Linked DNA regions of Lepisosteus oculatus. The protein of the gene in region 1 binds, or shares a complex with, the protein of each later gene. Links are inferred from orthologs where the notes say so. Each region holds a gene or a part of one and is shown in the gene's direction. Other genes may lie near its edges. The genes, in order: mks1, tmem237b, tectonic-1 and b9d1.

Evidence for each region.
Region 2: mks1 (region 1) and tmem237b share a complex: the UniProt entries of both Homo sapiens proteins name them as parts of the tectonic-like complex. The link is inferred for Lepisosteus oculatus from reciprocal best matches to the Homo sapiens genes MKS1 and TMEM237.
Region 3: mks1 (region 1) and tectonic-1 share a complex: the UniProt entries of both Homo sapiens proteins name them as parts of the tectonic-like complex. The link is inferred for Lepisosteus oculatus from reciprocal best matches to the Homo sapiens genes MKS1 and TCTN1.
Region 4: mks1 (region 1) and b9d1 share a complex: the UniProt entries of both Homo sapiens proteins name them as parts of the tectonic-like complex. The link is inferred for Lepisosteus oculatus from reciprocal best matches to the Homo sapiens genes MKS1 and B9D1.

What each region holds. Positions count from the first base shown.
Region 1 is NC_090721.1:453,763-461,215, reverse strand, and holds the start of mks1 (tectonic-like complex member MKS1), read left to right. Parts: upstream 1-4,447; 5' UTR 4,448-4,661; coding exon 4,662-4,738; intron 4,739-5,241; coding exon 5,242-5,363; intron 5,364-5,796; coding exon 5,797-5,861; intron 5,862-6,413; coding exon 6,414-6,569; intron 6,570-6,738; coding exon 6,739-6,836; intron 6,837-7,447; coding exon 7,448-7,453. UniProt on the Homo sapiens protein: Component of the tectonic-like complex, a complex localized at the transition zone of primary cilia and acting as a barrier that prevents diffusion of transmembrane proteins between the cilia and plasma membranes.
Region 2 is NC_090707.1:34,917,750-34,925,760, forward strand, and holds the start of tmem237b (transmembrane protein 237B), read left to right. Parts: upstream 1-5,008; 5' UTR 5,009-5,419; coding exon 5,420-5,437; intron 5,438-8,011. Other genes in the region: mpp4b (MAGUK p55 subfamily member 4), read left to right, coding at 336-416, 1,646-1,739, 1,845-1,953, 2,261-2,395, 3,137-3,328. UniProt on the Homo sapiens protein: Component of the transition zone in primary cilia. Required for ciliogenesis.
Region 3 is NC_090717.1:10,245,614-10,253,340, forward strand, and holds the start of tectonic-1, read left to right. Parts: upstream 1-4,727; 5' UTR 4,728-5,021; coding exon 5,022-5,499; intron 5,500-5,747; coding exon 5,748-5,865; intron 5,866-6,862; coding exon 6,863-6,993; intron 6,994-7,170; coding exon 7,171-7,331; intron 7,332-7,727. Other genes in the region: pptc7a (protein phosphatase PTC7 homolog), read right to left, coding at 3,463-3,664. UniProt on the Homo sapiens protein: Component of the tectonic-like complex, a complex localized at the transition zone of primary cilia and acting as a barrier that prevents diffusion of transmembrane proteins between the cilia and plasma membranes.
Region 4 is NC_090714.1:12,532,706-12,540,512, reverse strand, and holds the start of b9d1 (B9 domain-containing protein 1), read left to right. Parts: upstream 1-4,804; 5' UTR 4,805-4,956; coding exon 4,957-5,016; intron 5,017-5,276; coding exon 5,277-5,345; intron 5,346-6,405; coding exon 6,406-6,517; intron 6,518-6,911; coding exon 6,912-7,008; intron 7,009-7,174; coding exon 7,175-7,237; intron 7,238-7,807. UniProt on the Homo sapiens protein: Component of the tectonic-like complex, a complex localized at the transition zone of primary cilia and acting as a barrier that prevents diffusion of transmembrane proteins between the cilia and plasma membranes.

The sequences.
Region 1 (7,453 bases):
ATGATATCAACTGGTCAAAAATAACCGCATTGCCTAAAATATGATTTCATCATTTCGCTAGATCTCTTGTGCTCCTCTAAGGGGCCCAATGAGAGACCCAGAGGCTGGGCTTGTTTGGTTCTGGCTCGGTTCTGAGGTGAATACAGATCCTGAGGCGTTCGTGTCGATGGCCCGGCAGTCTCTCGTGCTCTGGAGACGCCGGCTGTGTGTTTGAAGCCCTGCTCTGGCTTGAGCTGGGAACGTGTGCACAGGGAGCCTGACTCTTCCTCGGACCAGCGCTGTCCGCGGTATCCCCGCAGAGAGAGACCAGAAATGGGGACTCTGTGCTTCATCTTTCCCCGAAGGGGAACGTAGAGGAATCCGGAATAGTTGGCGATCATTCCCTTCTGCGCCACCGCTGCTTTCTTGCTCTGTCCCAGATCCCAGGTGTGAGAGGAAGAGTGGGAATTCAGATTCTTCCACATGCCAGTTTTGGAGTGAAGGAAGCCAAGGCTGATGTGGGAGATGTGAAGAAGCCCCAGAGCACTGACCCGCCTGCTTGTGTTTCAGCACCCACAGCAGCGCTCATGGGCGCCAGACCCGCGGTGGTGTACCGGCCATGTGGGGGCGCTGTCTGCACCCTGAATCTAGGAACTCTCCTGCTCTGACGCTGCTGTGCCAGGACTGTGCTGCTCCCATGGGGAGCCTGGACAGGGTCGGTGAAGACCCTCTGGGGTGCAGACTGCCTCCCCTGGAGCCTCTGCTGGGACAGAATATTCCTGAACCGTTGTGGGACGTTCGTGTCCGTTATCTCGAGGCAAAGATCATGAGCAGGAAGCATCCAAGCATGGAGTAGAAGACAAGATTGGGAAGTGTAAGTGGGCCTGAAAGTAATCTGTCTCTAGAAAAGCCCCACGTGCTGCTGCAGGCATTGGATTTCTTCCGGTACCTGTGGCTGCTCCCTTTCAGATCTTTTTCTCCAGCAGCCGTGAGTCAGGTTGAACAGAAAACATGCCCCCAGGCCAGACCTGCTGCTGCCTGTAATGTGTGAGACTGAGGTGCATTGTCCACATTTTCAAGGGATGCTCAATCACTATTTTAAAGCAAAGAGTCTGCATAGATTCTGATCTCTTTAAAAACTTTGATGAAAGTCTTTCATATACACACCAGCTCGATTGAATACCTGTTTGGCGCAATCGTGTGGCCCTTGACTGTACACAGTCCTGTTAACTCCAGCAGCTGTGGAGCAGTGTGATTCAGTCCAGTCTTGTAACATTGGCAGTCTGCAACAACAATGAGGTAACGTCCTGGAGTGTCCCAACTACTGCTTGCTGTGACAAATGAATGTGCACTTGAAGAGGGTGTCCTTAAGTATCTGGGCCTGATTATTTTTGCCTGTGAGCAAGGGGTTGGCAATCTGATTTGTTTATTGTGGAATGGGCTGTTTGCACACCATTTGCCTAAAGGGAAAATAAATTCCATTATGATCAAAATTTGGGGACTTTGTGCAGAGAAAGCATGTCGGTACATATATCTGTATCTTTCCACATACCCATATATTTAAAATACAAAAAGTTGGGTTTCCTTGTAGCAATGGGGGACCAGATGTGAAAATTTTAGAAAGGGAAGGCTTTTTTACCCTTGTGTGTGTGGTGGGGGGGGTCGACGCTTCATGTTTTTAATGAAGAGGAACAACAGCTACACATTTTGTTTTGTCCACTGAGTGAACAGCGAACAAGAGATTTGTTATAAGACGCTGATATTTACTCCTGGTCCTGGTAGCTACATTGGTAACTTACAAATCCTCAGTGGTGGAAGACTTATGAAACAGTAGTAATATAGATTAGTAAAGTGAACAGTTAATTTAAGAGTCCAGGGTGGAATGAAAACCAAAACATGGCTCTTCAGGAGCAGGAGTCGATATCCCTGCTTTCGATTAGAAATAAGTGTCCTATTGCATAGTATTTTGATTCATTTCAGTTATTTAAGTCTGCAATCTCTTATATATGGATGTTTATGGATTATTCAGTGTATTTGCATATATCCATTTAGTTAAAATGCAATTAGTGCTTTTTATGCTACAGCTCTTACCAACACTGCAGCTGGTAATTCCTGGAGTGGATCAAAATGCTCTGTTGTGGGAGGTGAGTTCTTTATTTTTTTTTTCCCCCCAGAGACTTTTGCAAGCAGAAAAAGGTTTTGTCACATAGTACGTCAATATTTTGTTAAATGACTGCTCATTTGCTTTTAAATTGGATGCCTTTGCTGGAAGTGTTTTTATTGTGCTGAGCATGTTCATTGTCTGGGCTTGACACTGTGTGAGTGGCGGAAGCAAGTCTTGGCTACTGTTGCTCATGCTTCAGCTTTGTGATGTTCAAGCGTAAATTGTTAAAAATCACGTCAAATCAAATTCCTACAATAACCGGTTTCCAGAGACTTAAAATAAGTAGTGCTGGGATGTATGTTTTTGTTTTTTGTACAGAACTTTGAAAATGTGTTTATTTAACTTTTTTTTTTAATTAAGCAAATCACAGCTTACCTCCATCCTCCAATTTTTTGAAGAGGCTGTAGTGGTGTGTTCTACAGTGCTTCTGTACTGCTGCTACAGCTGTTTCAGTGACACACCTGCGTATTTTAGAGATGTCAAGATCAAACTTCCTCCCACACTCTATAAAGACATGCTGGTGGGGTAATTGGCTTCTGGGAAGATTGTCTGTGCCCTGTGATAAACTGGGGTCCCATCCAGGCTGGGTCTTGCCCTGTGCCTGTTGGTTGGGGGAAGAGGGTGGAGAGTTCAGGGTCATGTTAGTGCCCTGTTGGTATGACCTTTGACCCTCTCCCCAGTACAAATAAAACTAACGTGTTGAGAATGAAGATAGTTATTAAAGCCCACTTTTCCTGAACTGAAAGCAAATCAATTAAGATGTACAATTATTGTGGAACGACTCAAAGTGCACAGCAGAGAGTCGTGAGTGTGCTTAGAGTTCAGCCTTTTTAGTTTTTCCCAACCTGTCAAGATGTTACACATTAGCGCTGTAGAAGCGATAGGTCTGTGAGTGAGACGGCTGAAGCAGCAGAAGAAGAGACTTAGAGCCCTGAGCCTGGCTCTGCCAGATCATGTTCTCACCAGATTGCTGGTGTGCTGGTCCTGTAACAAACACATCCACAGAGAGAGAAGGCTGTCAGTCCCCTATCATGAAACAAAGGCAAAACCTCCTGTTGGTTCTGCAAAGTCTGCTTGAGGTTTCTGATTCATAATTGTGTATTACTACGTTTTATTTTTTTCAAAAAGAAGGAGTTGGAGGGAGAAAAAAGAATTTGTATACAAATTGTATTTTAATGGAAGCTGAAAATGTATTTTTAAAGTACTGGACAACAACTTTTTATAAAGGAGCTGTGGATTTGGATGAACTGTGTGTTTTTTTTCAGATACTTTCTTACCACATTACCTTGTTTAACAATTCGGGGTTCAAGGAGTATCTTCCAAAACAAGATGATTGATTATACATGTAATATCTGTGAATTCAAGCTTACAGGAATATCTGTAAAAGGCCCACATGGAACAATAAAAATCTTGATGTGTAACTCGTCATCTCCATTGAGCATCTGAAAGGATGTCCTGATTAAGAAGAGGGTTTGCATTCTTGTACCTCTGGGTTTGATTGGTGGTTGTGGGGCCTGTCTGTGTGGAGTTTGCGTGTTCTCTCCTGGTGCGCGTGTGGTTTTAGCTGTGGTTTCCTCCCAGGAGCTGATGAGGAGCCCCTGCTAGCACACTGTAGTCGTAGCCCTGCGGCCCAGCCTTGTCCTCTCGGGATGGGCTGTCCTGCTCCGGCTCTGGCCAGGACTGGCGGCCTTCCGCTCGTCGCCAGGGCCACTGGGGGGATGATCTTAGGATGTTTCAATATATTTCAATATAGCGCCTTCTTTTCTCTGTGACGCATAAAACACCAAAGTCATGAGTTTGTGCTGGCTGTAGGGGGGCCAACTTCATGGAGCTCAAGGTAAGCCCTGCATGGTATTATAAATACAATATTTTGTACGTATTTTGAACCTTGCATTTTTGCCTTGTGTTCATTGTGTTTTGCAATAAAATATTGACTTCAGAGTAACTTGTAAAACTACTGAACAATCTAAAAGCAGGCATACGAAATACTTAGAACCGTTACAAGCAATAAGTAAAAATGAGCTCTTGCAGCTTTTCTTTAGCTAAAGACAGAGTCCTCATACGAGAGACCTTAGCAAACTAGCTGTCATTTGAACGGGATTTTGCCGACTCTCTAGACCGTGACGAGATTATCGCCATATTGAATTCCAAGCCCCGACGCCTGCGTCTGGTCTAGAAGGCCAAAACCTCACCAGAGGTAGGCACTGATTGTTTTTTTTTTTTGCATGTGTCCGTCGTGGCTCAGTAGCGTGCAGCAGCCTAGGTAATTGTGTGTGAGAGAGAGAGAGACCGTGTATATATACAGTATGAGGTTCCGCTAATTCTGCTGTTTGATTATACCGCTCGAGGATGACATTGTAAATTGAAGGGGTGCCCCTATGCTGGCAGGACGGTCAGTTAGAGCCCGGTCCACCCCAAAATCAAGTCCTGGCTACAGCCCCTGCCTCCACCGCCCTGTGTCGGTAAACCGCAGGAAACGAGCCCTGCCGTTACCGTGACAACACACACGTCCGCAAAGATGGCGGAGGGCTGGAGTGTGGATACGGGGGAAGGGGTTTATCGCTCCAGGGATCCAGTCGAAAACCTGAAAATAAGGTAACCAGGAAAGACCCGAAAACAAGAAAGATTTGAACGTACAAACAGAGCACTTCACAGATTCGTGCTGGTTCTTCTTGCCGGGAGTAACGTGGTATATTCAACGTTGCGAGTTCAGCTCGCCGGTTGAACATAACGATAACGCGTGTAAAGTGCACGTTCAGACAGCATCTAATCCAGTAGCGTTTTTAAAAAGAAGTACAGCATGTATTTCGACGTTTGCTTTTGGAGGTATTCCCGACATTCGCTACTTTATATTTTATATAAACGTAAGGGGTTGTTACATCCAAATGTAACGTTAGAGTTGTTTACAGTTTGTAAAGGAGGATTATGCTCGTACAGCTCCCTTTACTGTCGTATCGCAATTCTGAACACAATTCAGTGCTGTCTCGGTGCTGGAGTGTAGCAGAGTAACCTGTCAGTGTGGTGCAGCGCTGTCTCAGTGTGGCAGTGCTGGAGTGGAGCAGAGTACTGTGTCAGCATGTTGTGTCTCTGTGTTGCAGGGTGCGGCTCCAGCGCATCACGTCCCCCACGGTGTTCTCCCAACAGCTCCAGCAGCAGGCCTCTGCCCTGCAGGAGAAGGGCCTCATTGAGCTCCTCACCTTCAGTGCTCAAGCCAGCTCAGGTGAGTATGTGTGCAGGGCCCAGGCCCTCTTTAACTGGGACCAGTTTCCTGAGGAGATCCATATCCAAAGGGTGTTAGTAGGACGTCTGAACGCCTTCGTGTCTGGATCTCAGGTCAGGGAGTTAGCGCCAGCACAGAGCTTCCAGCATGGCAGTCGCTGATATGGAGCAAACCAGAGAAAAGTACAACCAGAGAGTATATATTTCCTACTGACGTCAGCTGGTGCTGATACCGTTTCTTGAGTGCTGGCAGTTCTTTAAAGAGATGCATTTCCGCTGCCAGGGTAAGGGTGTCCCGCCACACGCTCGCACACACTGTAGGAACACGGGTTCTGGTTTGTTTGTTGGCAGTGAGGACTGTGGAGGAGCGCAGTGCAAGTGGCGGCCAGTGTCTGCTGGGGGCCGCTCAGTAACGGGCCTGTCTTGTGTTCCAGCAGGCGGTCAGCAGGACGACAAGGAGGACGTGACGGTGGGCTGGCAGGAGAAGCTCTTCAGTCAGGTGGGGGCCCGGTAATTGGTCAGGTGGGGGCCTGTTCAGTAATTACAGATGCAGTAATAACATCGGCTGGGCGCTTCCCTGTCCTGATGGCAGTAGGGGTTACTCAGTCTTCAGTGAAAAAGCAGGAGGTACTGTAATGTGCTCAGGCTGCCACACCTGAAGAGTGTGACAGGGCCCTGGTGCTGTGGTGGGGACTGTGTTCCTCGCGCTCTGCGCTGGACGTCCTCGGAGAGAGTTCCCACACTCCCTTCTCTTCACGAGTCCAACCGAGTGAGGCTGCACACAGCACTGTCCAGTCTTAGGAAATCCAGGGAAAGGAGAGATGGATGTTTCTGAAAAGTGTGAAATGAATCCAGGAAGTCACCTAAAGCTGCATTATTATTGGGATTATTTTGCTCTACAATGATTTTGTTCCTGAAGAACCATGTCCGTGTTTTTAATAGGGAACCTATTTTTTCATGCCAAGCGCTAGCGTCTGCAGTAGGAGTGTAGTGGGAGCTGGGCTTTGTCTTTTCCCTGAGATGTTTCTCCTGACCTGTGGGGTGTGTGCAGAGTGAGGTGGCCCTGCTGCAGACCGAGGCGGCATGTCGAAGCCCCCTGGAGAGGCAGTACCATGCTGAGATCGCTGCTCTGGAGAGGGCAGGGGGGCGGGCCAGCCGCAGGATCTTCACCTACACCGACTGCGACCTGCTGTCCGGGGAGATGGAGGTGGGTCCGCTCTGCAACTGGCTCGGGCTTTAAAGGGCCAGAGATGCTTTCATGTTTATTGTGTGGCTGCTGCTCTTTCCTTGAATGGCTGTCTGTTGTTGCCTGTAGGATGCAAGGCAGAGTGCATATGAAGATGAGAGCACTTAGTCGCATTTGTGTGTCTCTGCAGCACAGTCTCCCAGTGCTGAACCCGGACTGGGCTGCCCCCACCTTGCTGGCGGAGAGAATGGCGCATGTGAGGCACAGGAGACAGGAGAGGCGCCCAGTGTGAGCAGCAGTCTCTTCTTCCCGCTCTGGCTGTACACATACACACAGCGCTGATAAACATTACTTTGCAAATAAATACAGCATTATGTAAAAGATGTAATATTTATTTGTACATTTATATGTTTTTTGCAAGTTTTTGTGAAACATGGCTCTTGGATACAAAACAAATTCGTAAGAAATCTGCCGAAGTATTATCATTTTGGATTGTACTGTGCCCATTTCATGGCCTGAGACAAGCTGAGTGTTACCTTTTTTAGGGACCTTTTAGTTACTCTCTGCCGTTCTTGAGGGCTCACAGAATGATTTGGTGTCCTAAGCTGAAGGAAAACGCCTCAAATGGTGTTGCATGGTGTAAGGAACTGTAACCTCCAAATATCACTTTGCCACCTTCACCTTCTATCCAGGGCCCACTCTGCTTCTCAATACGTTGTGACCTGTATGATGTCAAGCTACTGTTCACAACAGAAAAGAAAATGGTAAAATCTTCAGCCACATCACAATGTGATGTTTAAGACCAGCATGGTGCTGGCTGGGTGCAGTTCTACTTGTACCGTATGAGCCTGGATCTCTGTCTGACTTTGACTTTCCCACACCTGGCTTCTGCCCTCCAGGGAAGG
Region 2 (8,011 bases), on another chromosome or scaffold:
CTTGAATACCGTATGTTCAGTATATTTTGATCTGTTGAAGGAACACTGCACATCTGTGCTCTTACTGGGAGCTGCAGGGCTCCATATTAATTTAATTAGGCCAATTTAAACTTTTCCCCAGGGCTTAAAGCTGGAGAAAGAAGGATTTCTGCACAAATGTGTAGTGCAGGTGCTCTCCTGGTGTTCCACAACTCTAGCAAAATTCGTGTTTTCAGAACACCCCTTATGCTAACGTTCAGTGTTTCCTGTGCCAAAATGAGTTCTCCCTAATACTCTGCTTGTGTTCCCCGATAAAGTAAGACATATATCCGGATCTTTGTGCTTTATTTTCTCAGGTCCCTCTGGAGTCGGGGTGAATGAGCTGCGGAGGCGTCTGATTGAAATTAACCCCAAGATCTTTCAGGGGGCCATTCCACGTACGTGCTCTGTTTACATGTGGTTTGGGCGTTCTTCAACATTAAGGAACATTGCTGGTGATCTAGGGGTCTTGCAATGCTAAGCCTAATCTGAAAAGCTTTAACTGACATTTAGATTGCTCTCAATCCTTAACACCTTTGTGCTTTGTTTGAAAGATTGCTCCTAACCCTGCTTTAATTCAATGTGCAACAATTGTGAATTTGAATCATATTCAGAAATTGGGAAAAATAGTGTTTATCTCAGTGTTTGCCCCAAGCGCAACATTTAGCCCAACATCAACTATTGAGTTTCATCCTCCCTAAACAATAAAGCTCCATGTAACAAATACATCACTTAACAATTAACAAGAAAGACTTACTTGCCACATTCAAACATTTCCTCATTTGTTAAAAGAGAAAAGTTTAAGGGCTTATCAGAAAAAAGGTTTTATATATTTTCAAGGTCTTGACTCCTGAAATAAGTTTTCAGATGATCTGCACAGAATTTAAGTACAGGAGAAAATAAAGTAAGCTGTTTTGTTTGTCAAAGTGCTAACTGTGCAAAAGACCATCACCACAGCAACTGCAGCTGTTTAAAACAGTTGATCTGTTATTTATTGAGTTTTGTAACACAATATATTTTCATTTATCAAAAAAGCTAAAACCTAATTTTTGGTGGCTCATCTGATTTTATTTGATGTGTCACCAGACTGAAAATACATTTTGTTAAAGTGTGTGGCAGTCATTTTCTTCTTAGAATACAAAACTGCCCAATTAGTTTAATTCTGTATTGAGCATATTGACTTACAGTGACATAAATTCACTGCTCGCTGTGAACCGATTTATATCAACCACATATTTTGGGTTGGCATTGATACTAACTTATAAGGAATCCAAAGCTTTTGTAGAAGTGTTCTTTTCCTTTATTTTTCAATTTGAGATTGGTGCCTGTATAATAAAAAATCATATTATTGTGATGAAATACAAGGGATTCTTATTGTTTTGTAACATAACCTAGCAGCTTATCTTGGGAGAGTAACGCAGTTTGGTCATTTAAAGACTGCTCAGCAGGCAAGTATAAATCTGTTCAAGGATTATTAATTCCAAAAATTTTTAAAAACAATTGCTTTTAGCCTGAGTAATGGCTTATCAGTAGTGTAACCTTTTTAATGTTGTATTGGGCCAGAGCCGTTGTAGGTTTTGGTGTGTTTAATTATTGCTGTTGTCTAATGGGTAAATTTCTTAAACAGACACAACCCGACCCCCAAAGAGCTATGAGGAGAATGGGAGAGAGTATCACTTTGTAACCAAGGAGTTGTTTGAGAACATGATTCACAGTAACAGGTACTATTTGTTTCAGTAACACTTCAGTACAGGTACAGTACACAGTTTCTTGTGTAGTTTCAATAATTGAAATACAGTAACTGTTTTGCTCTCTGTGTTTGAAAGGTTCCTTGAATATGGGGAATATAAGGGCCATTTATATGGCACAAGCATTGACTCTGTCAAGGAAGTTCTGGAGAATGGAAAAATTTGCATAATTGACCTAGAGCCACAAGTAAGAATTTCTTACTACTTCTTCAACATGTTGTGATGTGAACTTCATACACAATTTGACCTGATGTGACACTTAAGTAAACAAATCAATCGTTCAAGCGTAATCTTGCTGACTGGAATTGTACAACAGAATGACGTTGTGTTGGGGAAAAAATTACAGAAAAAATTATGCTGGAATTCTGGAATTCTTTTAGGTGTTCTGCAGCTCCTGCAGGCCTTGATTCATAGCAAACAACTTTAAACTTTATCACAATATTTGTGAAAAGCTAAAAACAACAACCATTAATTGTAGTAAATCTGTTTTACAGGGCATTCAAGGTGTGAGGACACATGAACTCAAAGCATATATCATATTTATTAAGCCATCCAGCATAATTCGCATGAAACAGACAAGGAAGAGTGCCCGTATCATCACAGATTATTACGTAAACCGGCCTTTTAAAGTAAGTTTTCATTTTCAAAATGTATTTTTCTTGTTCTTTGGGAAAATACTTGAAGGACAGATTTGTCAGCCTTTAGGAATCTTCTTTGTTCCTTTTCACTTGTTGAATGTGTTTCTGTACTAATCAGTATAGAATCAATTAATAAGCGTATTTATAGCGTTGCTGCATCAAAATACTGTATTTTTATTACAAACTATAGTATACTCTCCCGTAATGGTAGAAGTGCAGACTGAAGTTTGGAACAAATGTTTCTTTTGCTATATAGTACTGACATTTTGGTGACAATGTACAGTATACAGGGGAAAACTCTATTCTGGTATTCAGTGCACCACACAGACTGCTTCCTTTGGAGTGATGCTGAGTGGCTATTCCAGAGAGGGCCACTATGAAGAGCAAAGCATAAGTGATATACAGGTTATACATGGCTCAAACGCAGACTGTATCATTAGTCAACAGTGACTGGGTTTTTTCCAAGTGGTGGTGCACAATGTTTTCACAGCTTGGTGTATAACAACAATCCCTGTGAGTTAGTGGACAGAGGTGAGCTTGTTGACTCCTCCAATCACTTCTCTGCTGTTTGTAATGCTTTTAAAGTTGGGTTGCAGAGCTCTGTACTTGAGCAACAGAGAATTGAAAATCCTACTGAACGGAGAGAAAGGGGCTTTATAATTCCATTGTTATTTTAAAATATGAAAAAGATGGTGCTGGCGGACGGTGCTAAAATGGTGCTCTGCTTCACAGGAGGAGGATTTCCAGGAAATGGAGGAAATGGCGAAGAAGGTGGAGGCCCAGTACTGCCAGTTTTTTGACCACGTGATCGTAAACGACAGCTTGCAGGACTCCTGTGTCCAGCTGTTAACCGCTGTGAGGCGGGCACAGGACGAGCCGCAGTGGGTTCCAGCTCTGTGGCTCAGGCCTGCAGAAGAGTCCTGATAGAGGAGAGGGGAAAAAGGGACAAACCACACCAAAACACAGGGGTAAACCTCATCCTAGCCCAGAGACTGACTGAAACTGTGAGCTTCACTAACAGTATCTAAAGCATAACCTCAGTGCTAGAACGATGCAGTGTGCTCAAAGTTGTTTCAACGTTTTTATCAAGTTGAAGGACTTTTTAATGACCCATACATAAAAATCCTAAATGCTGGCAGTATAACAGCAAGGTTACTGTTAGAGGTCTCCTTGCAATATGGAGAATTTAGGGGCCAAAATACTTATTTTTCCTGTATTTACAGTATCCTTGAGAACTCTGGGAATCCTTTATTTTCCCTGTGAAATGACTCCAGTATGATATCACCTTTAGAATTGTTGAAGGAGTTTTACTGTATATCAACCATAATTCCTGTCCTTGTCCTTGTCCATGTCCTTAAATTAGACAGAATTCTTCTTGCTTTAGTTCCTGAGTGATGTTTTGTTTTTCAATTATTTAATCTAATTTATATTACAATATAGCCGGATTTAATGGTTTGTGGCAGTCTAGATTCCTACAGGAGGTCGCCATAGTGTGTGTTAATGGGAAACGCCTGGCTTTAGAAAGGCACAGAGATTGTGAGATTTTACAACAGGATATTTATACGATGTACCAAGAACAGCCCAATAACTTGTGTTTTCGTTATCCTTTAAAATGTACTTATTGACCATGATATTTGATTTGAATATCACTGTTCAATTACATAAATCTGGGTTTCTACAACTTTTAATGCTGTCCTTTATGCCATAAGGTTATGTCGTAGTATCTGTGATGAAAATTTAATTTACTAATTTTGGAACACCTGCCTGTGTACTCAGGTAATACAGACGGTTATAAGTTAACCTTCTCAGCACAGGCTAGTCATAATGACTGTTAGATCTTTGCAATTTTTATGTATACCAAGATAATTGTGGATTTTATTGTACACCTTTGTATTTTCTTTAAGTGTATGGTTTAATAATTTATTTCTAAATGTAAGAAGAGAGTAATGTTTTAAGTGGTTCTGAAATTGTTTAATCATCAGTTTTTCAATAGTTCTAAAAACAAATCAGGGGGATTTCATTGCATCACAGACCGCTCCAACATACAGTATAAGCCGAATTACTGATTTGTGAATTCATTTGTATCTAACCTTAAAATTGTGATCTGAAATATAAACTCTTCTAGTTTATTCATCACCTCAATATGGAATTTATAAAACAATCTATAAATTCTTTTTATAGAATAAATGACTTTGACTTTGAATAATCTACATATATTTGAGTGTTTTCTTGTTTTACTGTATGTACCACCATTTTTATTTAAAAACACCAAAGTTAATTACAGAACCTGTGGTACCACAGTGTGATTTACTGTAATTTGAATCTTTAAGTTTTCTGAGAATCCAAAATACAATGTTAGCCGTTTTTTTTTTAAAAAAAGATTTCTGTTGTCTAAACATTTTTATTCGTTTCTTTTTTAAGTAGGTTCTGCTGTTTTTGTGCAATATTGGTAACAAAGAGTGTTATATGAAATATTTTAATAATATTATTAAATGCTGAATTGATTGATATTTAAGCTGTACGTTTTGTGGTTGGACTGAACATTGTCTACTCTGCTCCATTTAATGTCATTAATGCGGATTAACGTGTCGTCATTCGAACCGAAATCTTCATACAACTTGATCCCTCTCGCCATTTTTAGAATACAAATTCATTATTCATTATTAACAGGTCCCCTAAATGAGAAATCCAGACATTTTCAGGAGGTAAAAAGATTTAATGAAGTATCAAAATCCTAACGTTGGGTGTTTGTCACTACAATCAGAGCTTCCCAGGTGCGTCCATCTATCCAAGAAGATACGGGATGATGGAAATTGCGCTTGTATTACAAGAAATAATGTAGCCGTGATTTAACCCGGAAGTAGACATGATTGACCTCCCACTGGCTCGTCGCTCTAGCAACAACGGTGTACAACAGCATGGAATTTGGTGTTCTGATTGGCAGTTTTGTTGTTATTCTTCTTTTTGTACAGTAGTTTTCTATCTTCAGAAGCTTGTTGTATTGACTTTTTAAAAATGGATGAAATTCCACGGGTAAGTGGTTTGAAATAAAATCGATCGAATATGAATGTTGAAAAAGGTGTAGTTGCAAAAGTTTAACGAGAAGCCACCTCACTTTTGTTGATTAAGATGGGTGATTATTTAAAATGTCTTTCGTGTTCATAGATTGTATTTTCAGTCTTGAAGGCCGAAAATTTTGTAAAAGTAATACTGGCTGAACCGTTTGTATTTAGTTTAGCCAGTATATACACACTAATGTCGATTAAAGTAAAATATATATTTTAAGCAATGAAGTGTCATTCTTTAATTAGAAAAAAAACATTCCCTTTAGTTTCAAATACTAGTACCAGTCGTTTTCATTAAGTATACATATTTCACGATATTATATACAGGAAGAGTTTCAAAAATGTTTGGTGCCCTAATATTTTTAAAGCTGGTTTGAAATCTATCTTCTATCCTTTTAACGGTATTGTCCATCTCGGCAGTAATAGCTGTTTTTGCATTAACTAGTACTCGCCTTGAATGAACACGGCGACAACAAGAACTTGCACTGTTGTCCTTTAAAGAAATGAAAATTGTATAAGAACTATGACGTTTATTTCAGTATTCTCTGTAATATGTAATAGCCCATACACGAACGCACATCATGAATGCGACATTCAAGATAAGTGAAATATTTATTGGGTTTAAAATATCAAAGCAAATGTGAACAAACATATAAATGCAGATTTGTCTAAGATGGTATCCAGAAAAATGTCTTTGCTCTTTGCCTGTTATTCCTTCCTTGTGAGCCCTGCTTTGCACTACAGTCCCAGCTACACAGCTGCTGGCTTTGATCCAGCCCGGATCTTGATCCTTAAGTAAACTAATAAGTCGTTTGTTTGGACTGAACTCTACAACACTGTAACGGTTGTTGCGTCCTCTGTACGTTTTGTTAGGAAGGATAAGGATTTGTTTTACCTGGATTTAAATCTGGCTTCCAAAAGAAGGATACATCGCACAAGGAGACGACTCCCTTACAAGGCCGGTGTTAGATTTGCTCCTGTATGTTGCCAGCAGAGGGCGCTGTCGCCACAACCACCTGGTAAATTTCTTTCAACCAAAATGTGGTCATATGCTAGCACGCCTGTCTGCACTTATCTGTGCAGTTCTTGGATCGTTTCTTTTTCAGGAAGGGATTTTTACTTCATCCATCTAGTAAACGCATGTAAGCCCTTAAGAGTGATTACCAATGAGAGGAGTTTATTTGGCCCTTCTCCATATCCCCAGGGATACTTTCGACAGCGTGGCTGGTTAGTATTTGGCAGACTCCTACAACTCTTTGTGTAAAGATGTGCATCCCTGATTTCCACCCTAGCTTTACTGTTGATCCTGAGGCAGTTCTCTCTGAAGAAAAATGCTGTGCTCATTTAGTCTGTGTGAGCATTACACTGTGAAGTATACATTTTGGAGGATTTTAAGTCCCTGGTCTAGGGACTGATTAAACCCTACAGCTTTATTTTGTTTCAAAAAGGGGAAAGCAAGCTAGAGCCCAGATAGTGGAGGTCTGCAATTTAAAGGTGCCCTCTAATCAAAGGCTTTATGCCATGAACTCAGAATGGGATCCTGTGAGAGAGATTTGTAGCAGTATTGTTTTTTCAGGTCTTTTTTGGGTTCACTTATGGCCCTGGGGTCCTGTCTGTGTGGAGTTTGTATGTTCTCCCTGTGCTCTCGCAGGTTTCCTCTGACTGCTCCAGTTTTGTCCCACAATCCAAAGACATGGTGGTAGGTTAACTGACTTTTGAAAATTGGCCCTTATGTGAATGGTGAGTTTGCACATGTTCGTATTTGTCTGTGTGTGTCCTGCAATGGACTGGTGTCCCATCCAGGATGTAGCCTGCCTTGTGCCTGTTGCTTACCAAGATAGACTGCTGCTCCCCTACAACCCTGAAGTGAATGAAGTAGTTAGAGGATGGGTGGATATTGACCCTAATGAGCTGATTATTTCTTTAAAGTATTTTTTTCCTTTTTAGTTTAAAAGGAAAAACATGAGGCCTTTGAATGTTATTTTTCAAACTAAAGCAGGGACGCTAGCTGAAGATCGTCTCCGCACCTACCAAGGTCAAGTGCTAGCATACAAAATTTGCAGAATAATTCAGAAAACAATGTGAAAAGAGAAGATGGAAAAAACAGGAAAATGCCAGTTAAATATAAGATTGCTATTAGTTTTACACAATATCCTTATTCAAGCTTTTAACCACACTGGATTTATTAAATGAATAATTTTCCAGATTGAAGAATTTGTCTCTGTACTTTTACGCTGTGACAATCAATTCTAATGAAATGATTATATCACATTCTAAGTAATGGCACAAACTAGCTAGGAGGCAGATGCTAAAAACAGCAAAACAGCAGGAGGGGCCTCTTTCACATTAAATACAAGTAATTAATGAAAGGATGGTGTGGAATGGAGCGAACCTTACAAAGACTGTAAAACCTGTTCTTAACACAGAATAGCCAATCGAATTCAGGATTTAAAAGTAATTTTATAATGGAGTGATTTCCTTTAGAATCTTGTTTAATGACCGCATGTGTGCTTTTGCCAATAATACTGCCTGATGCGATGGA
Region 3 (7,727 bases), on another chromosome or scaffold:
GGTCACCGCACTGACTGTGCTCACACAGGGTGAATGAGGAAGTGCACCTCACAGCTGGCAGCCCCCTGAAGCTCAGCAGGAGTGAGCCTGGCCCGTACCTGGGTGGGACACCTCCTGGGAAAGCTAAGGTTGCTGCTGGAAGAGGTGGAACCAGTAGGGGGCACTCACTCTGCAGTCTGTGTGGGTCCTAATGCCCATAAAAGTGATGGGAAAACTACACTGTAAAAAAGGCACCATCCCTCAGATGAGACGTAAAACCAAGGTCATGACTCTATGTGGCCATAAAAAAATCCCAGGGCGTTTTTCGAAAAGAGTAAATGTGTAGCCAAACTGACCAACCTAATAATCCCCATCTATGAAATGGCTTCATTAATATGTTCTCCTCCCAAGAACTGCAGTAAGATGCAGGACATTCAGCACCAATCTGAAAGGAGACACATCCCTCATCGACATCACTACAAGCCTGCAGGTTCCTGAGAAGTTCTGGCAAAGTGTGTGTGTGTGTGTGTGGAGACACATCAACAAAGTTAGTGGTGCTGCTTTGCCAGTATACAATGCCCCACCAACTCTAATGTTGAGAATTTCTGCAAATTCTCTTATACAAGTTGTCTTAAAAATAACCGATGTAAAAATGTTGTACCAAGGCACTGGCAATCTCATCTGAAACATGAAACTGCAGGCTAGAGAGAGACGAAAAAAAACAATGTGAGCCTAAGTGGTTCAGAGAAGCAATACTGGCATGAACAGGAGATAAATGTTGATTTTGCATTATAAAGCAGTTACTTTCCTCTAACTGCAGTTGCAGTAATCGGGCTGTGCAGACATCCGATTTGCAAGCTGTTTGCACTCTCTTCTCTGAGAATTGATTTGAGCACACAAATACAAATCCTCCCTGAGGATTAGTATGACTCATTCAGCAGAATAAGAAAATTCAGGGAATCGGTCTGTTCACATGGAAATGGGTAAGATTTAGTGCATCATGTGCTATTAGAATAGTAGGAGGCAGTGTAAGAGACAAAGGTAGTCTTTTTGTTCTTTCGTGCGAAACATTATTCAATACAAAAGCACATATGGACTTAAAACATATGAAGGCCTGAAAGCCGATATTAAAACTTCAGATGTCACCTATTTTTGATACCTTAAATATGCAAGGCTCTTGTGACATGAGACTGTACTCAGCAATCCTTCAAAGTCTGACAAGCTTTCCAAGAAAAACAGTTACGCAGAGTTCAACATTTAATCCCACATGAAACAAAAACACAGATAATCGATGGTAGTCCACTACTGGCTGTGCAAACACCAGCCAATTCACACAACAAAGGCCCAAAGTAGACAAACCAAAAACATGACCCTCCTTATACATCAAGCAACACTCCAGAACCCTTGCAGAGAAAGCTGAACTTGCCGCCAGGTCACTTTTAGTGCAATTTAACATTCTGTACGGGGAAAATCAAAATATGTTTTTGTTATTGGGTTCATGTTGTGTTTAACGTATTTTGTTTCGTCTTATGTCTTTTGCCTGCAAAACAAATTTCCCCATTGGGGACAGTAAAAGTAAAGATGTTTAGAGCCGACTTGCTTCCTGATATATAGATCTGTTCAATTTGCTAATAAAATTACAAGGACCCAACAAGCAAATACAGCTCTCGCATGACTTCAGGCTGCTGCTGCAGGTGGATCAGGCGCTCTGTCGTCTATGCAGAGATAAGACAGGACTCGGATACAGATTCCTCTATAGGATGATCAGAGCTGAGCCTGCTGAAACGAACGTGCACATCAGAATTTGAGCCCTTGAAGATTGAGAATATGTTGCAATTTCTTCTATTCCTAGATAATCCCATTCTTTTTAAAAGCTGTTTTCTGAATAGAGGCTGCATCAGGTTTCCCAGAAACCGGTGGCAGACATCTTTCGTTTCTGTACAAAGGTGCGCGACCTGAGTGAAACACGAAATAAAATAAACACGCGTCCTTCGATGCATACCCCCTTGACATTCTCAGTTAAGATATGGGAATAACTAAATTTTCCTCAAAACCCCCTACTAACTACCACGGATTTGCCCTTCGAGGGAAAACATGTTTTTCAAGGTCATAGTCCGCTCTGACACGTATATCCAAACTGTTGACGTCTGTCCTAGTTCAAAAGGTGGGCAAGATCACTTTGCTGCCAAAGGTCGTACCTCCTGGCCAGCCCCAGTGTTTGCCAGCCCCGGCTTGGCAGAGAACACGCCCCAGTCGTGGGTTTTCACGTTAGGACGGGCGCCCCGGGGTGACACTGGGAACTGAAACAGCTGGCGGCGCGCGCCGCTCCCTCTCAAGTGCACCTGGCTCGCGCCGGAGAAGGACAAGGACGGCGCTCGCGGGGCGCGTACAGAACGTGACCCAACATGGCCGCCTCCATGCTTAACCACCCTGACCTCTGCAGAGCGGACACCGGCTGTCCGGAAACTAAGACTGCGTTTACCCCCCCAAAAAAAGAGTAACAACGCCAGGGTGAGCGAGGATTGATGAGGGATCTAAGACCTCGTTAAGGCTTCTAACATGCCTACGCCGAGACACTACGCTCAGCACACAAAATGCTTCCTGGTGCAGCAGCCGTACGCGGAAGATGAAATAACGATCCACATCTGTCTCGCAAATACACCCAGATGAAACCCGCAAGCGTTAATTGTAATCGGAACCTTTCTCCTCATGCTGTAAAAGCTACACAATGGAGGGTTTTTTAAAACACCTTGGGAGTGCACATCATCGCCACTAGTGGTGGAGATACAAAGCCTCAGTCTACATCTCGGCGATCGAGGTAAAAGGTCACGATCACTCGCTTGCAACAAATTCAAGCTTTTCTTAGCCGCACCAAAAACACTGAAGTAGTCCTTAACATTAGTAAGTGTTTAAGCACGGTAAAATGACAATAGGTTCAAATTCCATGCATTGCAAAAACGTAGAAGCACCGTGCAGATGCAGAGGCTCTTAAACACATCCTGCCACTTAATTAGCTCTGCAGTACAAATGCGGGATAATGCCGGCATTAAAATCTTCAATGGTGATGTGCGCCGACAGGTGCAAATAGAAACAGTGTCAGAGCTGCGTGAAGGAGTATTATTGCACGACTTCGGGGAAAATCGTCTCAAGACGCTGCCGGTACCGATCAAGTACCACACACCAGCCCGGTGCCACATGTTGACATGAGACCAGGTCATGCAGTTCAAGTGACATTCCAGAAAGGGTATTTAAAAATTAAGAAGCGCGATTTACGGTGTTTTCCTTAACCTGCGTGGACTCGTTTTACAGTACTGCAGCTCAACAAACCTCCAAGGTGAAAGGGCTCCGATGCTTGATCGTTTTTTTTATTATTATTATTATTATTATTATTATTATTTCGGGATGGGGGGTAGTAGGTCCGTTGGAGATCAGCTTTAAACGCTTCGCCCTGGCGCTGAAATCAAGAAAAATCGCCGGACTTACCCAATACATCAGCGGATCTATGCCGAGCAATGAAACAGGCGTCATCGCCGTAACACATCCCCTTCTTCAAAATCCCCTTCCGAAAGTCTTTCCCGAAACCGCAGCTTGCCGTCACCAGGCTGTAATCCCGGCTATCTGTTTGGGAAAGTCCGCCCAGGACAGCCCTGGCAACCAGTCTGCCATAGGAGAGAACGGACAACATCCCCCCAAAAATAGCAAGAGTCCACCTTACCTCCTACCTACTCTCTCCTCACTCTGCCTCACTCACTAGTCTCTCAACAAAACAACATGCGGTTACCCACACTAACGAACAGGGAAAAAGGTCAGCCCCACAGTCCCAGAGGAGGCGCCTTTTTAACGTCTTTTTTTGTTTTCTGAAAGGCCCAGGACGAAGAGTACGGCTGGGAAGCGTCTTCAGGTTTTGGCGTGGTATTTCGCGAAGCCGGTGGCTCTCAGGTGCTCCATCCTCTCCGCCATCTTTCCCTGCTCAAGATTGTACAAACGCCCGGGTTCCGGCGAGCGCGAGCTCCACAGAGTTCGGGGGGCAGTCTTGTGACTCCTTGACGTCATTCGTTGTTACGCAATAGGGGGTTTTCCTTAAAAGGCCATCAATCGCGACTTTCTTCAAACTACGTTAACGGGGGGGAAAACTGTCGTTTTGAAAGGATCTGCTCTCCCCGTATCATCGCGGTCATTTTTACAGACTTTTGTCTTTACATTTTAATTCATGCCATTTAATCGCCTTTCCTCCCACCAAACGACTGCACGGCTCACTGTTACGAAGAAATGAAACATTAATCGTATTGCTTAAATCACGCGTTGTAGCTCCGTCTGCAAGAGCATAAGGCATTTCAGAGATAATGCTATCGTTTATTATTTAATTTGGTTTGGTTTAAATTAATTTAATTTATTTTAGTTTCCTGGGAAATTATTTTTACAGGATTTTATTCGTTGTATAAAGTCTTATATTATTCCCCAACCATGCAATTGGACACTACCTTATTGTTGTTTCAATCAGGAACTTAAGTACACTTCTGTGCATTACAGTTCAATCTTAAATATTAGCTTTATTTGTAAAAGTAAACTTTGCACAGATATTTTACTGAAACATTTAAATGAGCAAATAAATATTACGATCCAGCAGAATTTACCTTAAGAGGCTTGCATATTAGACGGTACCCAGATGATAAGGACAAATATACAGTGTATTTATGACGTTGCCAGTACAAATCATAACAATGAGGTACTACCATCACGTTACACTGACATTCTGAAATTTAAGAAGATCCCAAGGTTGCACGGAGAGGTCGCTGAAACTGTCGCCATTGTGGCTCAAACTGACTCCGAATGATTACACTCTGTCCTTAATTGACCCCTTTCCAAGAGCCAAGATGGCGACAGCATGCGTAAAACCTTTCGTACTTATAACCTTGAATGGAGCTTTCGTAACACTATTATTTTAACGGCCAGAAAACACGAATTCGTTTTCTTTTACTCCCATCTTACATCAGCAAAATAATAATACGATCACATGAATTATTTTATTTATTTTACCCGGGATGCCCTTCCCAAATTCAGTTCCTGGATTCGAAGGCTCAACCGTCTGTTTACGGTTACTAAGAGCCATGGCGGTGTCGCTAAGGTTTTTGATTTTCTTTAACTTCGCCTCTATCACTCGTTTGCAAACGTTTACCACGTCTCTGGCGCAGAGTGGAGACACCGGAGCGACAACGGCAGACGAGCCGTTCCCCCCAGCAGACACGAACGACTTCAACACTACGGCGGAGAACTTTGCGGCAGCTTCTGTCTCCCAGACGGCCGGAGCTGCTCCCGAACCGCCGACAGCTGAGTCAGCCGAGACGGGGGCCGCACAGCCGACCAGTGCAAGCGGTTTCCCCTCTCCTCTCAGCACCCCTGAGACGAACACAGCCCCTCAACCCGAGGCGACAGCCCGGAGCGACGTGTCTCCGAGAGCCGAGGCGCCCTCTTCTCGGCCTCTGCCGCTCTCGGGTTCCCTTCCTCCGCCTATTACTAACGGTATGATTACACAGCAGGCAATGAGCAGTTCAGTGACAGGTTGGAGATATCTGAGGGACTTATTATTTTTATTGTTGTTATTATTATTAGGGCTGCCGTGCGAGTACAGGGCAGCCCGCACTCCGATCCTGAAATCAGATTTTGTTCTGGGTCGAAACAACTAGGCATTCACCCACCACCCATCCATGAGCATTATTTTGGAGGGTCGTCAGCGGTTGCTAACAGTCACTCTGATCCTCTCTCCTCAGTCGCGAACGTGTGTCCCTGCGATCTGCTGTCGAGTCAGTGTGACGTCAACTGCTGCTGCGACAGGGACTGCGAGGGCGATTTCGCTCTCTTCACCACCTGCACCGTCGACAGACTGATGTAAGTCATCGCATGGCAACGTCCTGCATTGGCACTGGGGCTTTTCCAGACTGGGGAACCGTGAGCTGTCCTGTGCCTCTCCCACTTCGCGGCTAGGTGGCGCAGTGCTAACAGCGTGGAGTTTGTACGTCCTTCACATGCTGGTTTCTGGGGAAATTGCCTCTGGTGTGTGTGGTGTCTGTGTGAGCCCAGAGATGGACCGGTGTCCTGTCTAGGGTGTATCTTCCCTTGAGCCTGGTGCTGGCAGATATATGCTCCGGTCTCCCTGCAACCCTGTATAGGATAAGGAGGTTGGAAAACGGATGGATCGGTGTCCTACTTCCAGTCCCTCCTTAGAACTTACCAGTTATCCTATGATCTATCTTGCTCTTTCAAAATCTTACAAAATGCTGCTTGTCCTATAGTTTAGAACATAAGCACCCTTTCCTGGCCTCTTTATTCAGCTCTATTCTCTTAGTTGATGTTCTGTTTCCCCCTAATTTATGACAATTCTGATACCTGTTTTTGACTAACTGTATTTATAGTAATTGTATTTAATTTATGTTTCCTTGTATTTGTTAGATCACACTACGTAGTAGTATACTGTGTAAGTTATTTGCAGGTAACGTGTGTGTATAATGCAGAGTGTGTCATTATATCCAAAGTGCATATATTAACACAATGTATTTATAAGACATCAGTCTGAGGAGTACTATGTATGATTATATCTATTAACACTACAATAATAAATAGAAGCTGCAAAAAGTAGCGTTTTAGCAATGATAAACTGTATGGATGAAAGCCAGTTTGTAAGTGTTACTTAGATATCGCCTTTGCTTTCTCTTTGCCATGAAGTAGTTATCTACAGTCCTGTTAACATGGACCCACACAACGTTATTTCTGCATAACCGGTTCCTACAACATTTTGCAGTTCATTTTCAGTCGAAGTGCCAGCCTGGATGTGCCACTGTGGGAGCAGTGTGAGTGATGGCGTGACACTCGGTCTTGTGTGTTTCAGTGCTGACTCCCGGCTCTGCAGCCAGCAAGCTGCTCTCTACACCATTAACACAGAAGATGGCCTAGCGCAGGTAGAATCCACTGTAGCGCAAGAGATCAACCCAGGTGTCTTCTGCATCCAGACTGCCAACTGTAGGTGAAGTTTCGGTTCTAGCAACATGTAAAAAGGACCCTTTATCATCCTCCATGACTGCAGGAATAATGGAAAGGAAAAAAAAAAAGTAGCCTTTCGCATGCCTGAATGTTACTCATACGGTATATGTGATGAGTCAAAAGAGAAACTGCAAAAGAGCTTTGGTTTTTCTTTAGATAAGGATGGCTTGTCATTTGCTTCTCCGGAGATTCCCACAGATGGGAATTTTGACAGTCTGTTCAGGCAGTTCGGTGGGTTCTTCTTCAGCCCCGCAGATGGAGGTGGGACCGATACCGCCCCCGACAGGGCAGACCTGCAGGCCGCCTCTGGCTACCAGGTAAACGTGCTGCAGTGGCTCTGTGTGTTTAATCTCCGCCACAGTTAGTGTAGGCCAGGACAATGCTCAAGTATTTCTATACAGTACATACAAGTCTCCAGGTACCTTCCGTAAAAAATAAAGCTGAAGAAGGCTTCACAGCCAAGACGTTGTGTTTTCTCTCTTCTCTTTTCGACAGGGAATAAACCTATCACTTGTTCCTTTTAAGATCTGGGAAGCTGTAGTGGTGTTTTAAATTTTAAAGTGATGGAATTTTACTAGGGTGGCGCAGCAATGCAGGTTTCCTCCCACAGTCCAAAGACATTCTGGTGGGTTAATTGGCTTCTGAGGAAATTGGTCCTGGTGTGAGTGTGTGTCTGTTTGTGTCTCTGTGCCCAGCCGTGGACTGGCATCCCC
Region 4 (7,807 bases), on another chromosome or scaffold:
GTCGTGCAGTACATTTTCTTTTTCCATTTCAGAAACAGCGCTCCTAAAATAGTAATGAGGGAGGCTGAGAATAGATCCAAAGTAATAACAGCAGTGGGCAAGGAGGACTGGAAAGGTCTGTGAGGGCCTGCGGCCTCCATCATGTCACACGCTCACAGCCAGCACAGTTTGGCACTTCTCTGAAGCTCAGCCCCACCTCCTGCTCCCTCAACAGAGCCAAGGGGCTCAGGGCTGCGTCCCCCAAGTGTCTCCTGCACTGTCTGTCGTCACAGCCCTCGCAGATGAAAACAAGCCTGCTTCCCCTCCCTTACGGATGGCTATGGATGCGTTATAAAGATGCGTTTTACATGCAATGGCACATCAGCAACAATCTCATCAGCAGCACAATTTTTTATGAGCTCTTAAGGAAGAACAAAACCCTTAAATGCCTACCACTATCACTTCTGTACTGAATCACTGCTAATTCAAATTAGATCAGGGATGTCAGATTCCAGTCCTGGAGGGCCGAGTGTCATCTGGGTTTTGTTCCACGTTGAGTGGTCAATTAATCAATTAACCTGATTGCTTCATTAGACGAGTGGGATTTTTTCTGAAGGGCTTTTGAAGCCAATTACTCAAAGCATTCACTTCATTAAATTCAGCAGAGTGATGTTTATTGTCAGACGATACGAAAGAACTTAAAAAAATTAAAGCTATGTGAAAACTTGAAGCTTGGTTGGAAAAAGGCAATTACATAGTTAAAGCAAATATGCAACCTAAAGCTCGGGAAACAAGAAGACTTTATACCTTACAGGAGCTGAGTTTGAACCCCCTATAATAAAATCTCTTTTCTTTACTAGTTTACTAACAGTTTGCAGTTGCTGAGGTGTGTCTCAATCTTCTATAAGGCTACTAAAATCTAAATATTTGATTATATATTTTTTTTAAATAAACTGTGCAGGCACATGTCACATCACCATGAACTCTTCACCACCAGCATGTTACTTTAGTTTTTCTGTATTTTATGTGCTCAGTCGTTCACCTGGGATGTAAGCTCTTATTTGTTCTCCTTTCAGGGAAGTCTGCCAAGTTCTTCCTTTCAGGTTGCTCTTTACTTGATTCAAAGCAAAGACACTAGATGTGCTCACTAACTCTTCGCTCTTGGTCTTCATTAGGCACTAAACACTGCACATGCTCATCACATCAATTAGATTTTCTCATCAGTTCATCACTCTGTATTCATTAATCACCAGGCACTGAAGGATCAACTTATTTAACTTCATGGCACCCAGTTCTTAATCTTCACTAATCTCTATTCACTAACAATCAGGCACGGAGTATTTAATTTGACTCTGTCACCCAATAACAGTCTTCATTAAATTCACTTCACCATAGCCAGGCAACACAGAATTCAGCTCTATTAACTCTACATTGCCCAGTTGCAGTCTACTCTAAAATTATCACTTCCACTCTAATCTCTGCTGTTGTTTTCACTAACAACTATTAACTTATTGCTAACGATAGTGGCTAATCCTTTTTGGCCAGAGACACCTGTCTGTAAACAACATCCCTGACATACTTTTTGGTTCTAATCTCATGTTCTGACATCGCTCATCTGTCTGCTGATGTTAATGCATAGGGAGTACACAGGACTCATCTATACTTCCCTCTCACTCTCAGCTGTGGGGAAGAAGGCACTGTATGCTGCTACCTCACTACACAGTGCAGTACAAGCTAAGCTATATTTTCTCAAACATCCCTCACTTGCCGAGCTACACAGGTCTGTAAGGCAGCTCAGTCCATTGTTAATGAGATCTCCCACTCTGGAGCTCTCAAACTCATTCCTTTTAGGCTGTAGCCTAAACACAGACTGAAACTTTTTTCCTCTTAACTGTTCTTATAGATCTCTTAATTAGCCCAGATGCATGGCCAATTCCTCCACAGCCTATCCTATGAGATCATTTCCCTCATATGGAATTCTACCCCTTCTCTGAGCCAATTATTCAATTTGCCCCCAGATGTGCCTCATTTTTTTCCTCAGTTTCCCCCCCCCCCATCAACAGGTGGCATTCTCTCAAAGCCACGTATCACTACCTCACATCATCATCACATCCCTTTCGAAAACCCCTGATCCGATTCGGGCTCCCAGTGGCCCAGGGTCACATTGTCCCAGGAAGCATCGGGAACAAGACAGTATACACCCTGGGTGGGACACCAGTCCTTCGTAGGTCACTACCTCACAGAGACCCAAATCTGTGGAGCCAAGTTATTGACATTATTCAACGCTCACTCACAAAATATTTGAAGTCCATTCCATCTTGGCAAACGCTTACCCGTCAACAGTGCTCTATAAATGGCCTGCCATCTGTTGATATCTTCCCTGTCTGCTGTAATTTCAGTCTGGGCTATATGAAGGTCTTTGTCTTTCCTGCCTGTACTAAAGCACATTCCTGACCTGCTTCAGGATGGAACTGACAATAAACAACACAGAGGGAGTGATGACTGGGAGGACTGAAGGACATTATGGGATGGTGATGATGAAAGACCATGTGTCCTGAAAGACTTAAGAGTGCAGATAGTCTTCTCATACCCTAAAACACACATTCAGCAAAGGAAATAGCTCTGTCTTACAGTCCGAACCTACTTGAGATAGCTTTGGTAGGAAGAGTATAAGATACATAGGCAGCTGTCGTGACTGGGCAGTGGGCTGTGTGATGCTTAGCTCTCCGTACAGAAAAGGTCACTGTATCAGTGAGTGCAGAGATAGCAATGACACCCAGCAGAGCGCATGCAGCACTGTAGCTGCAAAGCATTAGGACTGATCACCAGGGGGCGCCATGGTGCTACTATTTAACCATTGCCACCCAGGATAGTTATCTAGTCAGGCAGGATGTTCTGTTTCACCGTTACTACCATAAGAAAAGGGGAGTGTCTGAGGGGAGGGGAGGTAGTCTTTTTTAGAGGTCTTCTAAGCAGCTGCTAAAGCATGGTATACTCAGCCTGGGGGTGGTTTCTGTAGGTCACAGGAACACGGTTAATTTACAGAGCCTGAAGGAACACGTTGCATGATCTATGCTAAGCGAAACAACCCCCAGGAAAAACAAAGAAACAAGAGTTCAAAAGTAACAACAAAATGGCTTGAACTACACCCTCATCATCTATCCATTTCTCGGACACAGCTCGCCAGTTCTGTTTAAGCATCCAACAGCACAATTATGAAACTATAAATACTATTGCTTTGGTGCAGCAAATTGCATTTATGTGATTCAGCTTGTTTTATAAAGGGCAGACGTGTCCACGTTTCATCTCAGGGCTTTTTTTTTAAGGGTGCAACCGTGGCAGACTCGCAAAACAGTAGCTTTGTTGATCATATCCTCCTCCTGCTAATTAAGAGAAATCACGACAGACCCAAATCCTCCCTCCTCCATCTGGAGAATACTGCAGTAATTAGACACCAAGGGGCCGGCACTCAGGTACACATTCTGTATTGCACTTCCTTTCCGGCAGGGGTAGAGAGCGAATTATCTGGGCAAAACATTGCTCGTAACTCGCCTGAGCCTGGCCCTAACATGAGCCTGGCAGAAACCCCATCTTCACGCACGCTGGAGTTTGGGTTTTTTTTTTTTTGCGTCCTGACCTTTAAGATACACAAGAAAGAAAAGAAAGACGTAAAGAACCGTAAACAGCCTGAAATAAAACTTCGTTACAGTCCCTGCCCCCTCCCACTCTCTCTGTCAGTGTCATTGCTACCTTCCTACTATCTCCTGGAGCGCTTTGTATCACGGCCCTCCCGCCTGCCTCTGTCACGCCGTGTTGCTGTACCCAAACTGTGCAGACGGCAGAACTAACATGACAGGCAGTGTGTGACACTAATCCCTACGTACCGAGCACAAACACTCAGGGACCCGACACGCGTTAACACGGCGCTCTGACTCATGATATCTCCGGCGCCGCCACTAACTGTAACCGCAGTCGCCGTGGCTGAACTCGGGGCCGCCCCGGGCAAGACGCGAGTCCCACCTCAAGGCGCGTCAGCACCTGCGGAGAAGAACCCAGTTCGTCTCACTCTGCAGTCACTGTAGCCTTCTACTGATAGCATGGATTAAAACGGTCTTAAATGCAATACTAAACGAAAATGTTTTAACCACATGTGAAATGTTCACCATCCTTCGCATGAGGTCAGATTTAATTTTAGACTCGCTATTATGCTGGTAAACAGGAAAGAAGGATTCAAATTTACGACTTTTTCCAACCTTTTTGCCAAACTGAAAGAAAAAGAAAACTTCTTGTTATAATATAGGCGTAGATGCCTCATTTAGCCAAATGTTTTATTTCTCAGAAGCTAATAAAGATTGCGTTAATGTAAGCAGCAACGTAAAAAACATTTTTTTTATTATCACGGCCGTTTTACAGCCCTACTGCTGAGCACCAATACTGAGAGAAAACCGTCCTTTCATCGCGCACTCCAATCAGCAGCTAACTGATTGCATTGTAGCCATTTGGTTCATTCATTTCACCTCAATTTCCGATGGCTGAAGAAAAAAACTTGAACAGAGTGATTGTACATTGCATGAGTACCATCTAGAGGAGAAGGCGATAATGAGCTCTTCAGGTGTGTATACAGAGATGATAAGACGAGAAACCTTTTAGATGATAACTTCGTGACATAACACAGTACCCTGTGTGCTAATGTGGTGTAGTATTTGTCTTGGCTTTCAAGGTTATGTTTTACTGTTGGTAAAAGCATAAACCTAACGGGGCTGGGCATTGAAAAGGAGGAGAGGGCGATGTTTTTTCAATCGCTTTTTTACCTTGCACTGTTTGGTCCTCACGCTGTGCCATACAGGAGGCGTCCTTGGTATCCAGAGGCGTTGGTGACACTAACAGGAGAGCAAATAGGAATAAATAACAATAGCAATGAGATAGAACATATTTTTCAGATTATTATTATTTCGAAACGTGTGGAGACAGGGCAGAATGTCAGCCAATCCATCTGTTTTTCTGCTCATGATAAACGGTCAGATAGAGGGAGCCAGCGTGAGTATCCGCCTTTCTAGACGCACAGAGCCTCCTGTTTTTACTTACTGTAGATCCAGACGAGACTGGATACGCTTTCCTGTGGCCACATCAGTGTCCGTTTCACATCATGTTCTGTAAAATAATACAACCCGTCTCTCTGCTAACTTTTAAAAACATGTGTAGTATCTTCAGAGGCTCAATGTGTGTTGAACGGAGCGCTGTTCCAAGTGGTAAAAATTGTTTTTCTTTCGTTAAATCTCCATTTTACTGTCTCTTAGTTTCCAGAATATGACGACCTGTACTGCAAATATTGCTTTGTATACGGACACGACTGGGCTCCTACCTCGGTGAGACACTTAAGCTTGAGGGTGCTTGCTATATTGATAACGTACTGTTTCTGCTTTAAAATTCTACTGCTTTTATTCCCTCAATTTAAACTTCACGTTCGTGTTGTTAATATATTGCCCTGGTTTTCACAGTTCCCAGATCTCCGTGGTCCAGAGTCCAGGCTTGTGATCAGCTCATTTTTTGATGTTGCCTTGCTTTATAAGATCCTTGCAATTAGGACGATGTATTACTTCAGTAATGTGAAAGACAAAGTTATATCGGAAACAACTAAATCGTTTACCGTAATAAATATGAAATATTTAGCCAGCCTTTTTTTTCTAATGGCATAAACTAGTCCTGTTTTCTAACAGTTGTTTAGCAGTTATATGACTTTAACAAAAGTTTAATATTAATTTAAGCATTACCTTCATTCGGTTTAAGAATAATTCTGAAATCGTATTATCACACAGTACCTAAGATGGTGAAGAGAGTTGGTAGCTTTTAATCCCACTGAAAAGCCAAACTCTGTGTTTAGCCAGAGAGAAACTCTTGCCAACACTACAAAATGTTGTTGTGCCTCTTGGGCAAAGGCTGGGAGATCCATTTTGCATGAGGTGATGTGTGTTTTGTTGAAGGGCTACACCAAGAGGAGTCATTTATTGTTATTCACACATAAATTGACACAAATATGGACTTCGGGAGCTTAAATACCTCTTTGTTGGAATTATCTATACAGTTGACCACTGGAGATGAGGTTGAGGGACTATAACGTCTTTCTCGGTAGGAACAGGTAAGGGTTTGTTCCATGCTGAAAGGAAAAGAGAAGAGATGTGAGGTTTCGGCTTTGAAGCCTTCTTCAGGCGTGTGGAGGCAGTGGCTGTCCAAACCACTGCATTTCTTTTCCTTTCAGCCTGGAATAAATCTTTACCTGTTCCCATGCAGCTGATGCAGTTCCTTACTGGATGTTTCTCAGTAGCTCGCTGGAAGGGGAATGGCCGTCCAGATAGGTATGGCTGCGTCCAGCGGGCCCCTCACTTCCAGCGTAGGCTGTTCCGATCATGCCTGTCGCTGTCCTGGCAGGGCCTGGAGGAGGGGATCTCCCAGATCGCCTCCAAGAGCAGAGACTCCCAGCAGCGCTGTGTGTGGAACTTCCCCCTGGATATCACCTTCAAGAGCACCAATCCCTTCGGATGTGAGTGACACACCCACTGACACCGATTACCCACTACTGAAAAACTATACTACTTTCTTTTAGAAACAGAACTAAAGGTTCTTTTAGACACAGTACTGCACAAATTGTATATTTGGCTATATATGACAAAATATACTTGTAGATGGGTGTTTTTCACCTCCATTGCAGTGCTGTTGAAGAATGCATGTCAATGGCAAAGGAAGATCTGGCTCTGCGTAATTTTGTGTAGCAGTTAAGAATGACTAGGAACAATTGCTGGGCTTCGTTTGCTTGTGACAAGAACTGTATTTTTGTCAGCACCACTTCCATTTCTATCATCGCTGTGGCCAGGCTGTCACAAAAGAGAGACTGGCTTTCACTGGGCTAAGGTGCAGGTGTCTGCTCTCTTGCGCAGGGCCCCAGATCGTGGTCAGTGTGTACGGACTGGACGCGTTCGGCAATGACGTGGTGCGAGGATATGGCGCTGTTCATGTTCCCATAACCCCTGGCCAGTAAGTCTCCTGCTCTTCTCCTCGGTACTGCTATCCATTGCCCCCTTGAGTTGCACTGTGTGCAGTGCAGCATGCTGTACAGTACACCTTGCAGCAGAAAACTAATAATGAACCTGTGAACAGTGTGCAAAAACAAAAATCTTATTAATCTGTGTTCTTCTCTCAGACACAAGAGAACTATTCCAATGTTTGTTCCAGAATCTACTTCAAGACTACAGAAGTTCACAAGGTAACACCGCCACAACACAGATTAAGCATTTTATGAAAATACCATTGAGCTCTGCCTTACCACACTCGGTTTTAAATTCTGTGTTCATGGTATCTGGCCCTTATTTGCTTCTCTTGAAAAATGTCCTGACAGCCAGTTTTAAGTGAGCTTTTCAAAAACAGTAGGTTATGCCCAACCAGAGAACCAACAGTAAAATGAATGTGCAGATGAAGTAAAATACTTGTTGAATTCATTGAATGCAGAAGTTTCCCAAGGCTGTTGTTGCATTTTCCTCACTTTTATTTTTTTTATTACAAGGAGAATGCAAAGAGCCTATCCTTCAGATGTCAGGTTGCTTTAGATCTGCAAGGCCTTTCTCAAGTACCAATAATTCAAGGGCACACAGTACACTTCTACACTTTCGTATCCTTCTGGAAGTTATGGTTATATATGATATTAAAATGCAAATTGGATTTTCTGAAAAGGTCTGATTTTATACATATTTTTTAGAATAGTTATTTGGCTTACCAATACAACTGTTCTACAAGCAGAAGCAGGAATAAAGACCACACAGCTACCTTTCAAAGTGTA